Canis lupus familiaris: one gene and its partner. The protein of the gene in region 2 purifies or fractionates together with the protein of the main gene of each other region. This does not show direct contact. Links are inferred from orthologs where the notes say so. Each region holds a gene or a part of one and is shown on either strand. Other genes may lie near its edges.

What was found.
Region 1: the proteins of XRN2 (region 2) and CDKN2AIP purify together in Homo sapiens (affinity purification with mass spectrometry; 4 studies listed by BioGRID and IntAct, with this or other methods). This does not show direct contact. The link is inferred for Canis lupus familiaris from reciprocal best matches to the Homo sapiens genes XRN2 and CDKN2AIP.

Annotation. Positions count from the first base shown.
Region 1 is NC_049237.1:47,835,955-47,839,697, forward strand, and holds the start of CDKN2AIP (CDKN2A-interacting protein), read right to left. Parts: upstream 2,418-3,743; 5' UTR 2,317-2,417; coding exon 2,057-2,316; intron 1,589-2,056; coding exon 1,458-1,588; intron 997-1,457; coding exon 1-996. UniProt on the Homo sapiens protein: Regulates DNA damage response in a dose-dependent manner through a number of signaling pathways involved in cell proliferation, apoptosis and senescence.
Region 2 is NC_049245.1:2,510,892-2,514,634, forward strand, and holds the start of XRN2 (5'-3' exoribonuclease 2), read right to left. Parts: upstream 2,583-3,743; 5' UTR 2,473-2,582; coding exon 2,398-2,472; intron 1-2,397. UniProt on the Homo sapiens protein: Possesses 5'->3' exoribonuclease activity. May promote the termination of transcription by RNA polymerase II.

The DNA.
Region 1 (3,743 bases), on a different chromosome or scaffold from region 2:
CGCCATGATTCACATTGGGACTAAAGCCACCAACAGCTACCAACTTCCACGCCACCGTCTTATACAGTCTGTTGAAAAACGGCTGTTTCTGTTTCACATCTTCATTGGTTAACTTGCAACAAGAAAATTTGACAGAACTCTCACTTGACTGTGAAGTACTTTTAGAAGGCAACTGTGATGTGCTAGTCTGAGAACTACTCTTAGAAGCCAGCTGGGACACACTTGCTAAGGAAGTGCTTTTGGAAACCAGAGATCCGCTGGTCTGGGAGCTGCTCTTGGAAGCTAACAGTGATGCAGCTACCTGCGAAGTGCTTTTGGAAGTCAGCAGAGATGTACTTGTCGATGTGCTGCTCTTGGGAGTTAGTAGGGATGTGCCTGATGAGGAAGTATTTTTAGAAACAGATGAAGAAACACTTGCCTCTGAACTAGTTTTGGAAGTTAACCCACCTGAAGCTGTCTCTGAACTAGGCTTGGAAGACAACAGTGGCAGCTCTCCTTCTGAGCTTCCAGAGGAGCCCAACAAGGGCACCTCAATCTCCGAGATACTTTGAGAAGCTGAGACTGAAGAACCTTCCAAAGCACTCTTTTTAGGTGATCCACTTTGTTGTCTGGAATCAGTAGATTGGGTCATGTGACTATTCACACTGGATTTCAACAACGAAGAAACAATGGAGGCTGAACCATGTTTATCTGGAGCTTCTGATTCCAAAGCTTTTCCAGACCCTGCCGCTGTTACCTGAGAGGAAATGCTGCTACTATTTTGGCTGGAAAGAGATCGATCTCCATCACCTGTAGAGCTATTCTGACTCGAGGTGCCAGAGCTTCGAGTGGCGTTCCCACTTTCTGGCTTCACAGATGACCCCGTACATGTTGAGCTGTTTTCCTGCTGAGCTGATGCACGTTCTGTTTTGGCAGAAAGTTTTGCATGCTCTTGCTCAACTGCAGAATTGTTTCTTCCTTCTAGGAGTCGTTTCTTCGCTGGCTCTTCTACCCCTTCTAAAAAGAAGGAAAACAGATATGTGACTAAGTCTAGCTCGTATGCATCACCTGAAAATTTACAAGACAGATACTTGTCAAAAGAAAGACAGAAGTCCAAAAAAAAAAAAAAAAAAAAAATCAGGACTAGTAATTTCTTTAAGAAAGAAAATGCGGAATAACTTCATTAATTTCTTACAACAGTGTTGAATAATAGAATTTAATTTCTGATATTAAACAAAATCAACGGCATAGACATTCGACACTTGAAATCTAACGCGGTCAAAGTTAACTATCAAAACCAGTGCCTGAAACACACACACACACACACACACACACACAATTGAGGCTTTAACATTCCAACTTGATTAATAACATCGTATACATTCTAGCTTGTTAAAAAAAATTAATTATACAATTCCTAATTATATCAAACTTATGTTCTAAACTCCTATGTATGTTCACATCTATGATCTGCTAACCATTGCTACTCGATATCCCTCTTTTCTTCACCTTGGCAACCAGTTCGTCTCTTGTTGTATGGATTGGAGCATCTGTCACTTTGATGCCTTCAGCCATACTAAGTATTTTATCCATAACTTTTTGTGGGTACCTGAAGGAGGAAAAACAAAACAAAAAACAAAAAAAACAAAAAGACGCTTTTAAAAAGTGTTTTTTCCCCAAGCTACCACTCTGGGTGTGCAAAAACAAACAAACAAACAGAAACAGGCCACAGGAACTGCATTTCCTGGTTGTGATCAAGAAAAGTGTACGAGCCGCCAGGAACTTTCGGTTTCCTGCAACCCCAGAAACCCACGCCCCAGGGGCAGGGGGGCGGGGTGCTCCCCGAGCGCGCGGCCGGCCGAGCCCCCAGCGGCCTCCCCCCCGCCCCCCGCCCCCCACCCCCCGCCCAGCGCGGGGCCGGCTGTTGCCGCCGCGGCTTCTGGCTGAGGCGCCCCGCTCGGCCTCAGAGGGCGGCCCGTCCCGCGGCTTCCCGCGCTTCCCGCCTTCCCCTCGCCGCTGAGGCCTGGCGGCGGCTGACACAACCGGGAGGGCCGGGCAGGGGCGCTTCCTCACTCACCGGCACCCGAGAAAGACGTGGTTCGCCCAGGCCATGGAGAAGGAGACGAGCTGCTGCAGCTGCCGATGGCGGCTCCCGCTCTCGGCGTCGGCAGCTGCCTCCGCGTCAGGCCCGGTCGGGGCCAGGCCCCCGGCGTTGCGGAGCAGGAACTCCCGGCGGTGGCGCCAGTGTTTGTCAGTCTCGCCGTCGCAGCGCAGCGCCTCCACCCAGGCGGCCGCCCGCGGGTTCTGGCTCAGGTACTCCGACACCTCCTGCGCCATGTTGGGCCTGCGGGGCGCGGAGGCCGCGAGCAGACGCTGCGCCGGGAAGAGAGGCGGGTGCGCGCGGGCGGCGAGCGGCCCTGTCAGCGCGGCCTGCACCGCGGCCCTCCGGAGAACGCCCCTCGCGACGCCCGAACGCCACACAACAGCGCCCGCGGCCGCCGAACCGCCCACTTCCGCCCGCCGCCGGCTCCTTCCCTTTTATAACCTCGCCGCCGCCGAGCGCCCGCGCGTCCTTCCGGCGCGGGCCGGCTCTCCCAGGACGCTTTGCGGCGCCCCGGCCGGGCGGGGGGTAGGGAGGGGAGGGGAGGGGGCGGGGCGGGCGAGCGCAGGGGGAGGCGAGCGCTCGCGCCTCCCGCTCCCGCCTCCCGCTCCCGCCTCTGCCCGGGGCGCCCCGGCTTCGGCTTTGTGACGCCGCCGCGCTCCCGCCGCCTCCCTCCCTCCCGCGCCCCGCCGGCCCCGGCGCGCGTACGGAGCGGGGCCCGAACGCACGAGAGCCCGCCCCCCGTCTCTTCGATCCCGTCCGAGCGCCGTCCCGGGTGTAGACGGGCGAGGCCTTCGGAGGCGGCCCCGGACGCCGCGGCGTTTTACGAATGTGCAAGGGTTTGCGTGTAAATAGCAGGAGGGGGGCGGCGTCTGGGCAAGTGGGCTCCCGCGCGCCGGCCCCGCGGCCCGGGCGGCCCCGAGCCTCTCCGCGTGCCCCGTCTTCTCCCCCCTTGCGTCCGTTTCCGCTGCGTGACGTCCACGCTTGACCTTCCTGGAGCGTTTTGCAGCGTTTTCTTCCCTCTTGCGTTCGTTTGCATTGCATGATGTCCACGCTCAACAACATTCCTGGAGGCTTTTGCAGCGTCTTCTCCCTCCTTGCGTTCGTTTCCGCTGCGTGAGGTCCACGCTTGACCTTCCTGGAGGCTTGCTTAGCGCCACGCGTCCAGTCTCAGGGACACGTGCTTTCGGGATGAATCCCTTTTAGTAAGGGGCGGTGCAATCATCCCAAATTACGAGGCACAAAGGAAATTTTCCTTGCGTTCAGTGTTTGTGGACTTTGGTTCGAAAATGGCTCGAATCCGGATGATCAAGCCAAAAAAAAAAAAAAAAAAGCCACTTAAACTCGATTAAGATTTTTTTTTCTTTAACGTAATTTATATACATGCAGGAGTGATCACCATCTATCATGTGAAAATAACACAGCCCACTCTCCGGTTAGCACCTAGTGAAACTTGGTAAAAAGGCGGGCACAAAGGAGTTTTGAAGCTTAGGATGTTGCTTCTCATTTGGTTCTTCTTTCCTCCTTTTCTTTTTTTAAAGATTTTTATTTATTTATGATAGTCACAGAGAGAGAGGCAGAGACACAGGCGGAGGGAGAAGCAGGCTCCACGCAGGGATCCCGATGCGGGACTCGATCCCGGGTGTCCAGGGTCACACCCTGG
Region 2 (3,743 bases):
ACCTTAAAAGATGCCCCGTATCATTTGTCACTAGGGAAACGCAAATTAAAATGAGATAAAACTATATTAGAAGGACTAAAACTGAAAATATTAACCATACCAGGTGTTGACAAGGAAACAGAGCAACTAGAACTCTGGTAAACTACTAGTGGCAATGTAAAATTGTACAACCACTTGGGAAAACAGTCTGGCAAGCTTTCCTGCTGAAATAACCACACACCTACCATACAATTCAATCACTTCACTCCTAGGTATTTTCTCTAAAGAAATGAAAGCATAGAACAATACTTGGTACATGTTCAACACTAAATAAGCGTGTTGGTTAAATGTATTTTCAAACTCAAACTACGCTTACCTAATGATCATTCATGTTTACAAGGCTAGAACGGACCCAGAAAGCTCACATCCCACATAGCACTTCTTAAAAACTCCTCTGAAAGTAAAAACCAAGGATTAAGCCAAAAAAAAAAAAAAAAAATGATCACAGTCCATCCAACTGAACGGAAAGAATTGTTAGAAACCTCAAGCAGCAGCTTTTCAGCAAGCCTAAATAACCAGGTTTGACAGCAACAGAAAAAAAAAAAAAAAACTTCAAGAAGCAGTCTCCAAGGTGAAAGTAGACTTGATAGAATACCTGAGACAACAGGGAGTTTGGATGGGGAACCATGTAAAGTGGAAGAGAACACCAACACTAAGAAAAAGACAAAAGTAGCACATAACATGAATCAGAATTGTAACGATAACTGAGAATATCATTTGATTTTTTTCTGTTTTTTTTTTTTTTTTTTTTTAAGATTTTATTTATTAGGGAGCGAGAGAGACAGACATTACAAGTGGAGGAAAGGGCAGAGGGACAAGCAGACTCCTTGAAGAGTATGGATCTTCACGCAGGGCTCGATCCCAGGCCCCCATGATCACGACCTGAGCCAAAATCAGACACTTAACTGACTGAGCCACCCAGATGCCCCTAAATTTTTTGGCTTTTAAAACGAACCAGTGTCACCAACACTGTGCCTGACAATTTAATTTTTGATGCCAACAAGGGAAAAGTGTAGCTGACAAGTTGGGTGAAGAGTAACCGCAGCTGGAGTAGAAAAGCTAATACCTAAGCTTTGACAGTGAAAAGTCAGGGATTCTTTATATAGGAGATACAATAAAAAATAAAAGGCATCTTACCAATTTTACCCTTCGAAGAAATAAAGATAGTGATGTACTATTATTAGGAGGATGGGGGGGAGGGTTGCATAAGTGACTAAATCCTCTTCTATCATAGCTGGAATTCCATAGCTAGATCCAAAACCAGTAAATCAGGTATAAACATGATATTCAGAGACAGAAACAAAACAGAAGTGGTTATCACTAGAAAGTAAAAATGGAAATGAGATATAAGATCTCATTATTATTACAAGATGTAATAAAGTCTGATATGTTTTCAAAAACAAAAGAAATGAGCATTCAGATAAATAGTTTCTCTTTATTAAAAGCACAAGGAATACTGGGAATGCCATCACAAGGCTTTCGATTCCTCCTTGTATAGCAAATAAGCAAAAATCAAAATCTCACCAGCTTTAACAAAAGAACCAAGTTTTCACAGTGACGGCTGGGTACTTCCTTCAAAAACAAAGGTGTGGGAGGCAGGATATGCGCTCGAACCTTCACAATCCGAAAATTCTAATAACTAAGAGTACAAAGCCGAACTCGGATTGGAAACACGGAAGCGATAAATGCAAAACCGAAGAATGGGCAAAAGTCTACACGTGCATTAACAACAGAAAGTGTATTCTTAGAGTGCATCCAGGAATTCCGCACATTTTAGCAAGCAGGCTGTCCGACAGCAGGGCACCCCGACTTCTCTCGTCCTAGACGTTTCTGCGGGGCTGCTTTCGCCGTAAGATGTTAACTACAGCAAGAAACGGCCTCTCACACTGGGAGAAAACCCCTCCGGCACGGACAGGCAACAACGCGAAGCTCGCCGCCGGATACTGCTTTCAAGGCTGTTAAGGGCCAGGATCAGCCCCTGCAACCCTAATTCGGCCAAGTCAGCGGAGCGGCCGGGAGGAGCTCCGCAGACTTAAGTCTCCCGAAACCCGACCGCGCGGGGCCTGGAGGAAACAAAGCCGTGGGCGGGGCCTTCTGGTCCCGGAAAAAGCGGGCAAGGGAGGTACAGCCCTCAAGTGAGTTGGTACCGGGTAGGCCCTCGCCCCGCCCGCTTTTCCCGGCCCCGACTCCGTGTACCGCCGCCCAGCAGTGGGTCGGGCCACCCCAGCCCGCGGGGCCGAGCGGGCGGCGACGGACCCCGCGCGATGCCCTCCGGGCAGGCGGTGAGCGCCGAGGGCCGCGGCCTAGACGCGCCGGAGCGCCAGGCCGCGGCCGGGAGACCGTCAGGCGCCTCCTCACCTTCTCTTCCACGCAGTTGACAATGATGGACGGGTACTTGCGGCTGAGCCACCGAAAGAAAGCCGGGACTCCCATTGCAGCTGCCCAGTTGGAGGCGGCGGCCCGGCCGGCGGACGAACGTAACCGGAGAGACAAGCGGGAGCGGCGGGCCGCGGGCACCGGCACTTCCTCCCACGTGCGCGCCGGCGACAGGAAGTGACGTCACGCCCACGCCGTCGCGGTCGGTGACCTCCCGGGGGCGGGGCTCGGCCGCCGGCGGGGTGGGCGGCCCGCGGCGTGCGGGGTCCGGCCCAGTCCGCGCCCCGGCGCGTCTGAGTGGTGCGGCCCCGCGCGGTTCCTCGCCGCGGCTCCCCTAGGTTGCGCAGTGCTGCGCCCAGCAGTTTTCCGCGGAGCCCTGGGCGGGGTGCATCACCTGTGTCTCGCCGGGCGCAGTTCCCAAAACCAGAGCGTCTAACCCCGCTCGTTGTTTCTGCTTCCTCGGTCCTCTCGGTTTTGTGACACTGTATGTACCTGGACTGTTAAAAGGAGCACATTAGATATTTTGCTCCCACGGTATTTGGTCGCACACGAGTTCACTCTCCATACTGAAGAAATAGAACCTAGCCGGCGTTTAGCGTTTAATTCAGTTTTCCGGCTACATTTATAATTGCTGGTACCCAGTTGGCTGGGCGTTTACGGTGCGCGAAAGCACTGGGTAAGGGATTGTCTCATTTAATCGTCGCTCGAGCCTTAAGGTGCGATTACATCTTGATGTAACAGATGAGAAAGTCGGGTTCTAGGGGGATTTAGTCACTTGTTTATTCGCGCAGCTTGTGTTTCAGTCCAACTAAAGATCACTGAATCCTCTATCCTTGCACTAACAGGATACTTTTATCCTTTGTTTTGTGGTGGCTTCAAATAGATTTTTCCAGAGCGTAAAAAGAGAGGTCTGAAAGAGGAGGTACTTATGTCCATTTGCTCAAGCTTGGAAGCCTCTTTTCCTGGAATCCCCTCTGGGCTTGACAAATCACACTCAATCCTAAAGGCTCACCTCAAGAGGCCTCTGAAAGTATTTCTCCTTGCCACCTGGCATGCAATATGCATTGCCCCCCTCCTCTGTCATCTGATGCCATTTTGTTTAAACTTGGTGTCGAAATTAGAGAAACGGTTATCCCATAGTTAACCTAAGGACAGCTGAAACTATTAGTGTCTGGGGTAAAAACCCCTCATTTCTCCTGGAAACGGTTCCTCCTCAAGTATTTGGTCTCCTTGGGAGGTGTTATGTTCTTACAGGAAGCTGGGTGACTTGGGCCATTACTTAATGGCCTTCCCCATGGTGCAAGAAATGAGGAGAGCAAGAGCTCATG